Linked DNA regions of Rhinolophus ferrumequinum. The protein of the gene in region 1 binds, or shares a complex with, the protein of each later gene. Links are inferred from orthologs where the notes say so. Each region holds a gene or a part of one and is shown in the gene's direction. Other genes may lie near its edges.

What was found.
Region 2: the proteins of MYBL2 (region 1) and LIN52 are in contact, whole or in part, in a crystal structure (PDB 6C48), measured with the Homo sapiens proteins. The link is inferred for Rhinolophus ferrumequinum from reciprocal best matches to the Homo sapiens genes MYBL2 and LIN52. Residues at the interface, in NP_002457.1 of Homo sapiens: Trp663, Val666, Ala667, Gly669, Thr671, Asp673, Gln674, Phe676, Lys680, Ala681, Gln683, Leu684; in NP_001019845.2 of Homo sapiens: Gln84, Ala87, Tyr88, Gly91, Leu92, Glu94, Ser95, Met98, Thr99, Lys102, Phe103, Leu107, Glu108, Lys109.

Annotation. Positions count from the first base shown.
Region 1 is NC_046306.1:13,696,788-13,703,987, reverse strand, and holds the start of MYBL2 (myb-related protein B), read left to right. Parts: upstream 1-4,197; 5' UTR 4,198-4,392; coding exon 4,393-4,412; intron 4,413-7,200. UniProt on the Homo sapiens protein: Transcription factor involved in the regulation of cell survival, proliferation, and differentiation. Transactivates the expression of the CLU gene.
Region 2 is NC_046289.1:24,300,843-24,308,772, reverse strand, and holds the start of LIN52 (protein lin-52 homolog), read left to right. Parts: upstream 1-4,912; 5' UTR 4,913-5,047; coding exon 5,048-5,078; intron 5,079-5,223; exon of another isoform or gene 5,224-5,382; coding exon of another isoform or gene 5,383-5,392; intron 5,393-7,930. Other genes in the region: ALDH6A1 (methylmalonate-semialdehyde dehydrogenase [acylating], mitochondrial), read right to left, coding at 4,440-4,487.

The DNA of each region.
Region 1 (7,200 bases):
CAGTTTTAAGCCATTAATTTGGAGCAATTGGTTATGCAGCAATAGATCACTAGATACCTACAATTTAGAAGGAACTTTTTGGATCTATCTGAATCGAATACAAAGTTTCACTTTCCAAAGGGGACACAGAGGCGTAGGGAGCCCTAGGGACAGAGGAGCAGTGACAGGCCTCCGACTAACCTGGGGCTTCTCCCACCACTCCTAACTGGAGAAGGTGCCTGGAGCGGCAAGGCCTGGATAGCCATGGGTCAGCTGGCTTTTTCCCTTCATCTATGGATGCCTTCTGGCAAGGATGTGTTTCCCCCAGCTTCTGATGAAAAAATTGAAACAGGAAAGTGGAAAGACTAATACAATAAACACCAGTACCCACCATTTATTTTCAAAAACTAACATACTGCCATATATGCTTTATGTTAATTTTTCTTACTGAACACTTGAAATGAAATCGGATATAACACTTTACCCCTAAATATACTTCATTCTATAACTACAATATACCATTATGACGTACTATTTAATGCTTATTCAAATGCCTCCAAATTGTCCCCAAAGTATGTTTTATAGATGTTTTTTTCAAGCCAGGATCCAGTCATGGTTCACACATTGGATTTGTCTCTAGTCTGCCTACCTCTTTTGTTTCTTTTTTTAATGGCATTGACTTTTTGATGAGATTAAATTAGGTGTCCCTCACTCTGGGTTTATCTGATAGTTTCATCATGGTGTCTACTAACTTCTCCCTTTAGCTCCTTTATTTCTTGCGAACTGGAGGTTAGGTTTAAAGGCTTGACTAGCTTTCAATTAAACATTTTTGGCAAGACTATTTCATAGGTGATGCTGTGTATAATACGAGGTCAGATTGGACCTCTATTAGTGAAATGAAGTTGAATCACTTGGTTAAGGTAGTGAGCAGGGGTGCTTTAAATTCAAACGTGAACTATTAATATAAGAATGCCCTTTAACCCCAGTTGCTGTTCACCTATGTGCACGAACTTTTTCCAGCCTCTTGAGATGAAAAAGTTAACTGACTTGAACAAGTGTTTCAAGTTCATTCTTAAAAAAAAAAAAAAAGTTACAGTACTAGTCCTAGCAGGTAACAGCATAATTTTATTACTGGAGATTTTGTTGGAGTAAAATACACCTCTGACTGGAGAAGCATTAGTGTCAAAAAGAAGAGGAGATAACAAAGAGAAAGGGGAGATGTGTGTTGGTGACAAAACATCTTTTTCTTTCCCTAAGAGCAAGGAGGAAATTTTGTGGTATCTTATGATTCATAGATCTAGTTGGCTTTCCTTAGGTTACTGTTCCCTAAAAGGTCACAGGGCACTACATATGCCTTAATGAAATTTAAAAATTTCTTTAAATAAAAAAATTTAGGTAATAACTGAAAACGGAACTGAAGGATGAAGAGAAAGAATTTCACCCTCTTCAGGCATTCAGTTCCCCTTCGTGCAACCAATATTATCAACTTTTTTTCTCCGCCTTTAAGAGACAGGAAGAAATACACACTTTAAAAATAAAAATCTTGCTTATGCCAAATTTTAACATGAAGCCTACTGTTTCACCCCAGGGCTGCGCTCCTGCAGGCAGCCCATAATCTAATCCCGGAGAGACATTAACCTCCTAAGAGTAGAAAACGGTGACAAACAGCATAAAGGAAATTTGCAGTGTTAGGGGCTTGTCCAGAGCTGCTGACGCACACGGGGAGTCATCAGGGGAGGCTAGAGGCAGAATGGGGTCTACAGGGCTCCGGGCCGGGGGCGATTACTAACCGCGAACTCCTGTGACCGCCAAAATGTCAGAGGCCGAAGATGTACCCTCCCTGCTCCCTCTCATCCGCGGAGCTTTTCTTCCTCCGCACGACCCCAAAAGGCAGGCGTCAAGGGAGGTCTCCCAGCGACGATGACTCGGGGGGCGCGGGGCTGGCGGGATCGAAGGCAAGACAGTTGCGGGGGACCAAGCTGCCGAAACCCGAGAGGCTCCAAGCGGACCCCGAGCGCAGGCGCCCCCTGGTGACGTCAGGTAGCGAAGAGACTCCCGCGATGCCCCGCGCGGTGCCTGAGTCGGAGCGCGCGCGCCTGTAGTGGGTGCTTTGTGGGCGGAGGCGTGGGACCCGCAGTCCGACAGCACCGGGTCTTAGGCCTCCGTTTCCTTCCGGGCGCCTAGAACAGGTCAAGTCACTGCCCCGGGTCGTCGCGGGCGGCGAGAGACTGATGATGCTTGTGAGAGTACGTACAGTGTGCCAAGCAACTTCCTGAACCTCAACGGACAAGCATGAGGGTAGCTGAAGAGTAATAATAAAAATAATAACAACTAAAAGTAATATAGTACTTATTATGTACCACGGATTGTTTTCAGTGGTTTATACATTAATTTATTTAATCCTACAACCACCCGACAAAGTAGGTACCAGTGTAGTTAGTGATTGAGAGCATACACTGGAGAACTAGACAGCCTAGGTTTGAATCCCTGCTTTGCCATTTACTAGCAATGTGACATGGGGGGCGGGGGGTGGAGGGGGACAGGATACTGTGTCTCAGTTTCCCCATCTACCAAAAGAAGATAATATTAATACTACCTAATAGAGTTGTTATGAGGATTAAATGGATTAAAATTTGGAAAGCATACAGAACAGTGGCTGGCACATAAGGAAAAGCTATCTAAGTTTTTGAAAAATCTTATTTTTACAGGTGAGAACACTGATGCACAGAGGAGTTAAGTAATTTGCCTAAGACCACACAACTACCGTGTTTCCCTGAAAATAAGACCTAGCTGGAAAATAAGCCCTAGCATGATTTTTCAGGGTGACATCCCCTGAACATAAGCCCTAATGCGTCTTTTGGAGCAAAAATTAATATAAGACCCGGTCTTATTTTCCGGGAAACACGGTAGTAAATGATAGAGCCGGGAATCAAACTTTAGGAAGTTTGGCTTCAGAGCCTGGACTCTTAAATACTATGGCCTAGCAATGAAAACGTGATGTCCATATGAATTACTTTATGAGGGAGGTGGGTGACATAAGCGCTGAATTAATTGTTGTGGAAACTTCTAGCACTTAAGACGTCAGCGTTCCTTCTGCGGGAAATGAGGTTTACACCAGCTGGCAGGACTGTCCCCAGGGGTCCAGCAGTTTCTGGAAGAGGGGTCTGAGGCATACGCAGGGGCTAAGAAGGTGGGGTTCAGCCAGGTCTCCCCAGGCTCCTGTCTCAGAGTTCATTTACCTTGCTTTCAGCACTCGTCCCAGGGAGCAGGGTGTGGAGGGTACTTGGTAAATGGCAACTTAAAATGGAAAATCCTTGCTAAGCCTCTAAGAGTTTAATCACCTGAGTGGGAAACAGAATTCAACTCCACAGTTGAATTCTGGGTCTTGGGGATCCTGTGGTGAATGCAGGGGCCACTTGGACATCAGTATGCCTACAGTTCAAAGGGGAGACGCACAAGTTTATAAACAGATTGTGGGCAGTGAACCCCAAGGATAAATAGGAAATAGTCAGGTGGGAGGGGCAGGAAGTGTTCCTGGCCCAGGTAATGGCCCAAGCAAACGCAAGGAGCCCAGTAAGTTTCCTATGGTAAGGGGTGAGGTGGTGATCTGGCAGAATCCTATAAACCAGATTAAGGTGCATTTTACTCAGAGAATGAGGGCAGAGGTTTTAAGTTCTGGAGAGGCTAGATCAGTTTTACAATTTAGGAGGATCTCTCGAGCTGTCAGGAGTCCATCCGAGGAGCCAGAGCCCCTGAATTCGAGGCTGGAGAGGAAGCAGGGAGACGGTTCTAAGGCACAGCCCTGGTTTAGGTGAGTTGGCCACCTTGGGGCGGGGAGGGGGGTTCTATAGACCGTAGGAGCAGCTTGGAGTAGTCCTGGGGTCTTTGCACGGATGGTATCCCCAGCCTGATTTTCCCATCCCTGCGGCTCACTCCGTATCCTTAATCTTGGCTGTGTGGGCTACTCCTTGGCGGCTCTGATTCACACATGGCGTGAGCCTCAGTCACTGGGCAGCGTGTTCAGAGCCCTGTCTCCCAAGGTGCCACAGGCCTTGTCCTACCTGCCCTGGGACTTCAGGGCTCTGGAGCTGTGCGCAGCCGGCCTGCCTGCCTACTGGGCCGGGGCTCAGCCCCGCCTCCACCAGGCCCCGCCCCCAAGCCCGCCCGCCCGCCAGCGCGCCAGGCCCGGGCGGTGCCGACGCGCTTGGCGGGAGATAGGAAAGTGCTTCTGCGCGCGCCGGCGGCAGCTGCAGCTCCTGCGAGCCGCGGTGGGACCTGCGGGCACGCTGAAGCCTTCCAGCGCGGCCCCGAGGCCCGGAGCGGCCAAAGCAGCCCGCGCTCTGACCCCGGCCCGGCTCCCGCTCCGGGCTCAGCCGGCGGGCAGGCGAGCGCGGCGCGGCCCGGGCCGGGGGGATGTCTCGGCGAACGCGCGGGTGAGCAAAGCCAGGAGGCTTAGGTCCCCTACCCACTCCCCAGGTCCCATCCTCCTCCATCCCGACCCCTGCTCTACCCCCATCCTCATCATAGTCCCTCCGAGCGGGCGGGTGTGGGGGTTTCCCGCGGGAATGCTGAGTCCTGGGCCGCCCGAGGCAGGGGGCGCGCGAAGCCGGGGGTCTCTTTGGGCCCATCGTTCAGTTTCCCAAGCCTGCTGGGCCTCGGAGCCGGGGCGGGCGGGTCTCTTGGGCCCTGGGCCAATCCCTGCATGATGTCATTTTGCCTCCCGCCTAATTTCGGGTTGGGGGTAGGACGGCGGTGTCCGCTGGAAGAGCCATGACCGGGGAGGGAGGCGACCCCTGGAGAGGGAAAGGGATTCTCTAAGTCACAGCGCGCGAGAGGCCAAACCTGGAAGACACTTGTCGTTCAAGCCTCTTTGGGTTCAGATTTGCTGGTGGGCGGTTTTTCTCAGCATTCGGGAAAGTACAGAGCACCCCAAGTCCTCTCCCCGGCCTAAGAAGAGTGCCGGGGGGTGAGGAGGCCCTCTTTTGTCCCCCACCACCTGGGATCGCGGCCCCAGCTGGGTTGAGTTTCAGAGACTTAACTGCTCCACATGAGGAGTTTTGGGCAGCTGGAGTTAAAGGTGACGGACGAGGAAGAGAGACTGATGTGTATCACGACCTCTCTGTGCCAGCAGCCCCTGGGGCCCAGGCAGGAACTGCGGTCTCCATTTTACTTATTCCCCTGGAGAATAAGTGGTAGGGTTGAGCCTGAGACCGGGTCTGTGGGCTCCAGGTGCCTTTCTTACACCTGTGTGCCTGGGGCTTGAGCTCTGGGCTTTTCAGCCAGCCTGGGAGTCAGGGAGGACAATGAGCTCCTGCCCTGTGCCCTCCCTGGATTCATGCAGCCCAGATAACCTTAAACCCCTCTCTGGATGGTGTTTGCCTTCTCAGGCTGAGGATATCGACTTGAAAAGCACTCTTTGCAGGCTTTCCCCAGAGTTCTTTTCAGCACAGAAGCATCTGATCCCTGGGCAGTGGTCAGGGTGCCTCTTCCTCAGGCCACAATTTCCTAGGTCAGCTCCACTCCTCAGGAGTTCTCTGGTCAAGCACTTGTCAGACCCTTTCCTGATTTTTGGTTCAGGGAGTGTTACTCCAAGGAGCCATAAAAGCCAGGCCTTCTGCCACTTCTCCCTGGGGCTCAGTGTAGGAACCCCCTCCTGCACTCTCACCCCACAGCCCTCCGCTTCATCCTTGGCCACTTGCTGTAACTTCTCTGCACTGGTGCCCCACTTCCCGCTCAGCTTCTGACTCACCCCACCTGGAGCAGAGCCCAGCACATCCAAGGGTGTAGAATGGGTGTGTTGGACCTCCACGTGGTTGCCACCACTGACTTGGCTTCTGCCTTTTCAGCTGGGATTACTAGGGGAGAACTTGAAAGTGTAGGTTTGGAGCCTCGCTCAGTGGACTTGGCAAGTGGCCTAATTCCAGGGAGCCTCAATTTCCACATCTATTAAGTGGGGATAATGAGAATGCCTGTGAAGTGGATGGTTAGCACTATATTGGTGATAGAAGTTTATCTCAGAATTCGCCCAGCTGAGTTGTTGGTCCCATTAAGTAGAGTATCAGAGCATTAGAAAGTGTAGAAAGACACTTCTTCATCCTTGAAGGAACATCTGCTGAGCGTCTATCAGAAGTTGGGTGCTAGGGAACCAAAGGTAACTGTCAGAAAGAGGTCTGGGGGTAGTTGATTTTAAAGCCAGCTTCATTCATTCTGTTACAAGTATCTTGTAGAATTTTTGTCTCCTACTTTGCAATGGAGGACCCCATGAATTTGGTCAGGAATTCCAGCTCCTGTGACTAATGTATTGCTGGGATTAGACACTCTTAGACCCTTCCTTTTCTACTTCTAAAAATTTTATTTTAATTGCTATTTCTTATCTACTAATAGGCAACAGCTTTGTGTGTTTATTCATTCATTTCAGTACCGGGCATTCCCTGAGCAAACATTTAAGATCTTTTGATACCAATCCCCTAAGGCTCTGCAGCTGTGGAGGTGGAGCTGACCTCTGTGTAGATGTCAAGGAGACAGGTAGCCTAAGGGCCTACATTCTGAGCTAGGAGGATTGCCAAGGTGCCCTGGGAGCACAGGGAGATACTGACTTCTGGAGAAGGGGAAAGGAAGTTGAGAAGGAAGCCCTCTTCCTTCTTTTCACACTGGGCCTGTACTTGCCTTGCCTGTTTGGAGAAGTGTAGGCTTTTCTCACTTCCAAATGGCTGACTTAGGAATGTACCTGACTGGTGACCTGACACAGGTCCCACTCACCACAGGGAGTTGGGAGCTCACTAACCGGGGCACACCTGACATCACTGGAGGTGGATAATCATTAAACCTGATGAAGATTTTAGAGCAACTTGGAAAATTGCCTGCTAGAAAATAAAAACATCAAGAATTCAAAAAGTTGATTTTTCTCTCCATAAATTATGCCTGTGTGTTCCCAAGGATTGAGAGGGGATATGCAAAAATGGGCATAGTTAGTAAGATAATGTATTTTAAAATGTTTTTCCCAAATAACCAATATTTCTTAAAATTCTGGCACTTGATGATTGCATATGTCATCAGCTTCAATCCTTAGACTATCCATGCAAGTTTACGAAGTTTTGTCACTGAAAAGAGAATATTAAATGGGGGTCGGGTTTTGAATATCACAATATTCTTGGTGAAATCTCCACTGCTTTTTCTCTTGTAGCTTTTGACATCCTGTTCTTGAAAATAAAGAAGACAATA
Region 2 (7,930 bases), on another chromosome or scaffold:
GAGACTATGCATGCTGTCTTTCTGTCACCCAAGATGAGCCTCGTATATAAGTTCCCTTAAAAAACTCTTTATGGGGGCAGACAGGTAGCTCAGTTGGTTAGAGCATGAGCTCTGGGCAACAGGGTTGCCAATTCGATTCCCACCTGGGCCAGTGAGCTGTGCCCTCCGCAACTAGATTGAAGACAATGACCTGCCGCTGAGCTCCCGTGCAGCCGGATGGCTCAGTTGGTTGGAGCATGTGCTCTCAACCACAAGGTTGCCGGTTCGACTCCCGCAAGGGATGGTGGGCTGTGCCCCCTGCAACTAAGATTGAACCGAATGGCAACTGGACTTGGAGCTGAGCTGCGCCCTCCACAACTAAGATCGAAAGGACAACAACCTGACGGGTTCTGGGAAAAACACAGCTTCCCAATAAAGTCCTGGAAATACACACTGTTCCCCAATAAAGTCCTGTTCTCCTTCTCCAAAAAAATCGTTAGAAAACAACAACAACAAAAAAAACCTCTTTCTGTAATGATAGAATTATCAGACTCTTTGTTTGGTCTCTCAGCCCTTGGAAATTTTATGTAACACATCGTCAATCATGCCCTCCTTTCTGATCCCCCTTTCACTTGTCTTCTGTGATACCTGGTATCTCTTTTATCTCTTGGGCCACTTGTCTGCCTTCTTTGCTGACATTCTCTTCTACCTGGTCACATCGAGTTAGGTCCTCAAAGCTTGGTCGTAGGCCTTCTTCTCATTCTGCATACTCTCCTTGAGTGATCGCCACAACTCTGTGGTTTAATTACCTAGATCCCGATGATGCCCAAATCTCTCTCTTCAGGTAATACCCACATAACTGTCTTCACTATATCTCTATGTGGATATTATTTAGGCACATATTGAAAAAGCTGAACTCCTCATCTTCCTCCCATCAATCTGCTCTGCTTCCTATAGCCCACTTTTCAGTGAACGGGACTACTAGTCACCTAGTTGCCCAACCAGAAACCTGAATGTCACCCAACTACTCTGTTTCTCTTTATAGCAAATCAAACAAGTCCTGGCAATTTGTTCTCCCGTGTTTGAATACACCCCTTTTTCTCTACCCGTCCTGCTACCACCCCAGTCTACACCATCATTGTCTCTCACCTGGATTTCAATCTTAAACTTTCTGAATCTAGTTTCCACCCCCTAACCAGAGGGTCTTTCTAAAACACAAATCTGGTCAGACCACCCCCTTGTTTAAAACCCTCCAATGACTTGCCACCACCCTTGGGATAAAGACAAATGTTTTTGTTGCTTAGAAGACTCTACATAGTATCTTTACTTCTCTGGTTTCATAGGTTGCCACTTTCCTCCTTGCTCTATGACCCAGCCATTCGGAACATGTTTTGTGCTCTCTTTGTCCTTGCACATGTTGCTTCCTCTTTCCTGGAATTGTTTTATCCCATTTGCTTGACTTACCCCTACTCTTTTGCTCCCTACTTAGCCATCACTTGGGGTGTAGGTGCACGTCAGATTTGCAGGTTTGCTAATAGGAAGTTCAGGAGGTTCTCACTTGATCGTTTCCGCTTCCTCTGAAGTAGGAGAAACAAGGTTAACTCCTAAGAGTGAGCGAAATAACAGACTTGGAAGTTTTTAAGTCTCAATCTCAAGTCCAGGCTAAGAACCTGATGGTGCAATTCATAAAACACCTGAGTTCTTCTATTCCTCATACCACCTTATGGAATAATAGCTTGTTTAATTATTAACTCTGTCTCCCCTTCATACTAATAAATGATGCCCTTAGATCACTAGATGACTGTGTCCTCGGCCCCTCGCGCCATTTTTGGAATAGAGTAAGCAGTTAGTGATATTTTGCAGAATGAAAGAATGAGTACTCACCAAGCAATTGTTTGATATTAATTTTGTTTCATGTGTACTCTCTTATAGGGCAGAAAATGCATAGATCAGCCAGCTTGAGCATTCTAGGCCACTTAGTTTTATTTTCACTTGCACACAGCCTCCCTGCTATCAAGAGGGCATAAAAGGCACTGCATTTGGTATAATAAAACATTATCACATAGTTTTTGACAGGTTAGATATCCTCCTTTCTTTGTTTCATTTCCCTAGAAACAATCATTAGCACTCTTGCTAAAGAAACTATCCTATGCCTAGTCACATCTAACATCTTGTTCTCTAGATGTTTATTTCATACTTGGTATTTCCTTTACCAGGAACTCCCTTCTCCTCTTGGCTAAAGGCCTGCTAGTCTTGCAAGACTCAAGCCCAGACAGAGCCAACCCATTTTGGAAGCTTTCCTGAATTGCACAGGCTGAGTTTGTTTCCCAAATACCCTGTGCATTCTTATTGTTTAGCACTTATTACTGCATTACAATAGGGAAGCTTTCAGCGAGTATTTTATTTATCTCTCCTTTCCCAAAGCCTGGGGTAAGTGCCTGACACAGAAAGAGATGCCAAGACTTCATTTCCGAATTCAGTTACTAGTTGAGAGATTTTGGATGACCTTAGCCTTAAGTGTTAGGTAACTTACTTTATTATATCTGTTAATTCTAATCTTCACAAATATTCTTAAACTTAGAAAGTGGTGAAGCTGAGGTAGAATCCAAGTATGACTGAAGCCTGTACTCTTTCTACATCACTGAGGTAAGTCACTGAGACTCCCTAAGACTGGTTTTCTCAATGGGAGTGATAATACCACAAGGAGCAGAAGTTCTCAATTTTACTAGCCACCAAAACAGAGAAGACCCACTAAATATGTACTTTAAATAACTGAAAACATGAACTCTCTCCTTTACAGACCCTTTTGATAGTCCTCTAAAACTTACAACTGCCAGGATCTAGACTACTCTTTATCAAAGTTTCATGTTACAGTAACTATTAGTTGGCTAAGGATTACTATTTCTGTTCTTTTCTAGTTCAACTTAGAAGTTTCTTCACATGAATCAGAAAATAGTGTCTGTTTCCAAAATAAAGTACATGGGAAGGGAGATTCTTCTTCTTGATGCAAAAGACAAAATATCTTCTTAAAGCTGTCAATGACTCATTGTGACTGAGTGGAGGGGAAGTAGGCAAAAGTCAATTTCAGTCAAAGAGTTCATAGAGAAGTTAGTAATGGAAAATACTACCGGGTGGAAACTGATTCCCCATTGTGAAAAAAAGATACTAGGAAAATAAAACTAGGATCACAGCAAGAATTACATGAGTGAAGTCAGACCATCTGACAAACGCTTCCAACCCATTCTCCACACTATCCTAGTAAACAGCATATTTAAACATTAACCTCTGCTGACTCTGCTAAGAATCTTAAAAATGCATAAGTTTATGCAGTAGAACTCACTGAAACCTGATAAATACTATTATTATCGAAACGTCCAGCAATATAGAGAAATAAGTTCCCAGGCTGGATTAATGAGTAAGGGCAATGCTTTTTCTTGCAGGTTGGAGAACGTTGACTGCAGTAAATCTTGCCTCATGTTCTAAGTCCTTGCTAGGTTGTGAAGAACAGGGGAAAGGCCTTGAACAGTTAGAGAATCCCAGGCCTCAGGCATGAGCTCCGGTAGCTCTACCAGCTCTTCTAAGGCTGGCTTCACAGAGGACCCCACCCCCACACCCCATGGGCACTGCTGAGGGTGTGTTGGCCCACGAAGAGCTGACCTGGGGGCAGGAGCTTGGGACTTGCCCTTCTTGTCTTCCTTGGCTCCCATTTTCTATCACCTGTGTTAGAGATGTTTTGTTCCGTGCACGTACTTGGAACAAAGTAGGAACATAAATATGTGTCCTTATTTACCGCTAACAGGAACACTGTAACTTTGCTGAGTGTTTAACTGAAAGTCCTAGCAAGCAAGGGCACACTGCTCATGGCCTGTGGAAAATACAAATAACCAAAGCTAGGGAAACGGGCTTCTTTGGGGGGGAAACCTACTGTACACTTCTCGGAGGAGATTCAAGTTCATTCACTGACCCTCGCCCCTCATGTGCCTCCTCCCCACCCCTTAGCTCGGATTATAGACAGTGAAGTAGGGTGGGGGAAGGGAACAATCTGGACGCACAGGGCAGGTGAAGGAGCTCTAAAAAAGGTGACCAGAGGGGAGTTTCTGGGGAGACAGGTTTCAAGTACAGAGGAGATCGATCGGTTGCAGGTGCAGAGGTGAAAGAATGTGTGCGGCGACAGCGGTGAGGGCAAGAAAGTGTCACAGCAATAACGGGGGCAGGGCTGGAGGAGCGGGGTGGGCCAGAGCCAGATGAGGGGAGGCCCAAGAGTCAAAGGGTGGGGGGCTAGAGGGGTGACAGTCCTGGGCTGGATCCAACGAGGGCGGCTACGGAGTGAGGAGAGTGAGACAAGGGCCGCACAGGTAAGATGGGAACAGTAGGGTGGGCCAAGAAGTCGTGGGCTCAGAGAGTGGACGGAAAGGACACAGTTCCTAGCTTCGCGACCCCTCGGCGCCACCCTCACTCGCCTGCAGGATCCGAGCCCTCACTGCCGCCGCCGCCACTACCGCCGCCATGGTTCTCAGCTGCCTCTTCTCCGCCTCGGGGTGCCTCTACCGCCCGGGACTCCCAGAAGCACACGGCTGCCAGATTTCGCCTCTCCATCCTGCCGCACCTCCTCATTGGTGGAGAGGACCAGCCAATCACGCGCCCTAACTATGACTCCACTCCCAGTTGGGAGGACATGTGATTGGTCAGAAGTGAAAGATCTCTCGGCCCTCTCCCACCTCAGCAAATTCTGTTGGCAGAGGCAGGGAAGACGCCCCTGACTTGAGTACTCTATATTCAGCACACAGGGACGACGCCCCCTAACCGGGAATCCCGATTGGCCACCGCGATGACTGCGGCCCCACCCCGTCATTGGAGAAAGTAAATAAAACCCTCCAGTAATTTTGCAGTCGCTCCACCTCATGCAGTGCGCGAGGGGGTGTGACCAGCGCTGGGGGCGGGGTTAAGCAAAGATTGCCCTATGGGCGGGGAAATGAGACGGGACTGCGAGTTGGGGATTGGGTTTCTCTTTGGGGGCGTGGCTTATGGGTCCTAGCTTTCCCGCCGACGGTTGGCCACGTCACGTGACATGGGTTGGAAGATGGCGTCTCCCACAGACGGTAAGAGCCGGCTCGGCGATCCTTCACCTGCAACCTCCTTTGCTCCGCTCTCCGTCTGCCTCTCGAACTAACACTTCTTTCTTTGGCTCCTCTCCTTTCTCTTCCACTTCTCTTCCTTGGGATGCGGGTGCGTCTTCACATCGCCGATTTTTCACAGCGGCTCCGAAGGTGCCCTGCCTCCCTGCTGTGTACCAGGAGGGTAGAGGAGGGTACCCGCGAAGGTCCCACCACGGGCCTTGCCCTTCCTTTAGCCCCATTTGGGTGGACCTGAGACCGAGGAGGAGATACTGCTGGAGGGAAAGAGATGACTTACCGTATGTAGCTTTCTCCTTCTGTGGCGCCCCATTAAGGGTCGGTTCTCTTACCTTTGATCATCTGGAGTGATTCTCTCAAACTCTAGCTGGGATTGGTGGCCGACCTCATCCCGGGACTGAAAAGGAAGGAAACATGATTCTCTCCTATCTCCCCAGATTGATACCGTTGCCCTGGCAGCAAGAGAAGTGGGAGAACTTCTCGGCCACTCGCCCTGAGAGTCCCCAGGAAAATGAGGATTGAATTTTTTATTGCAATCTAGCACACGCCTCAACTTGTCTTGCTTCAGCTGTATGTGTTGTTTCCTTAAGCTGAATGAATGAACGATTTCTGTTTATATACTATTGTCTAAGACGCATGTCATCTCAGCAACTAAGTGCTCATGCTCTCGATTCCCCTTTAGAGAGTTAGAGTCTTGTAGTCATTTCTGAACTCAGTTTTTCCTTCCACTGCCCCCATCCCCACGTCCATTTCATTGATATGTGATTTTTCCCTCCTCAAACCAACACATTTTCTGTGTGGAAGGAATCTTAGAAGTTCATTTCAGGAATGAGGAAATTGAGGCCAAGAATGCTAGCTATATCAACTACCTGCTGTATGAAAGGCATAACGCTAGGTGCTTTGGGAGAGGAAAAGATTAATCAAACATGTAAACACTTGCAGTTTCAGGTCTCATTTGAGATGTTGCCTCCCTGAGAGTCTTTCCCAGAACACATTTACCCCTCTTCACCATTGTTCACTATCTCAGTATCTTCATTGTAAGACAGTTATTCTGTTAACTTTGCCCCTTTCACACTAGATTATAAATTCCAAGTCTGCCTTGTTTATAGTTGGATCCTAAGGGCTTAGCAAGTGTCTGGCAAGTAGTAGGCCTTCAATGAACATTTATTGAAAGAATAATTAGGTATATACATAAATAATATATTACTTTGTCTTCAGTTTCAAGTTTAACTGAGTCTTAAGTTTTTTGAGTGCAGGTACAGACTGTATAAGAAATTATGGGTGTTCAGAGTCAAAGGAGATTCTTTTTCCTGCCTGGGTACTCTCTTGTTAAAATGTCCTTTTCTTGCCAGAAAAAATGTTGGGGGGGGGGGTTTATTAAAAAAGTCAGCCAAGGGAATGGGGAGTTACTGTTTAATGAGTAGTTTCATTTTGGGAAGGTGAAAAAGTTCTGGAGATGGATGGTGATGATGGTTACACAACATTGTGAATGTACTTAATGTCACTGAACTATACACTTAAAAATGGTGAAAAGGGTAAATTGTATATTATGTATCTTTTACCACAATTTTTAAAAAAAGTCAGCCAAGTGATAGAAGTAGAAGTAATTGCTATAACAATTTTTATTTTATTATAAGGTTATTTTTAGATTTATACGTTTTGGAGATTTTAGAGCTGTGTTCGTTGTGTTTCATTTATCCTTGTCTTAATTTCTTTTTCCTTCTTTGGCCAGGAAGAGTATTAGAAACATATTTTTTCCTTTGGTCCATCTCCATTAATTATTTGCACTCTTAATTTTTAAAAGTTTTCAGTCTCATCTTTTATAGAGTTTCACCCTTCTCCACATAAACATTTTTTAAAATCTGACAAAATCAAATTGAGCACTTTGAATTTAAATTCAGCTTCTAAATAAGTATCTCATCCTGAAACATTTCACTGCCTAGCGCTCTCACTTTATTTTTAGTGTTCTACTTATCTCTGTCTTTAAATTTTAATTCAAATAATAATGGTTTGTAAAAGTTTAGGTAATTTACTCATTTGTCTTTTTAATGCTAAGTTTGCTGGGACTTCTTTGAAAAGGAGAAAACTGAAATCAAGTAAAGCCATCTAATTACTGAATGTATGAGAGTAAATCTCAATGCAGTCTGAGTTATGCCCCAAAGTATGGTATCATAAGGCCATCCTTGTTGATTACTGGATCCTACTCCCAATAAGTGTATTTTTGTTATAGTTGAGCTTCTCATCATAATATCCCTTAGGAATTTGAAAAATTGACATTTTGTGTTACACACAGCTTTTCTTTGTTACCATTTTTGGAATGCTTTAGTTATTTATTCGAGTTGAGTTCTTTACCAATTAGAATGCCATTGGAAATTCTCTTAGAATATTTGGGGGGAAAATTCAGTTTATAGAAAAGCATATGTTGAAAAAATTAAGACACATATACATTTTCAGGGAATAGGTCCATAGCTTGTTTTTCTTCCAGATTTCAAAAGATGTGGCTTACCCAGAAAATGTTAAGAGCCACTGTTTATATCATTAAATGAACTAATGTATGTAACTAGTTAGCATACTCAACATACAGTACTCAATAAGTTTTAACTTGTTATTAGGTTGGTGCAAAAGTAATTGCAGTGTTTGCAATTTTTTTTTTTAACTTTTTAAACCTCACTTACTGTTGCACCAACCTAATAATATCCAGTACCTACTGTGTGCCCAGACAAGAGTGGAGAGGAAATGGTGTCAAAGAATTAGGCAGGATCATATAGGATTTTATAGGGCCTGGTAGGTACACATTCACAAATTTAGCTGTGACGAAG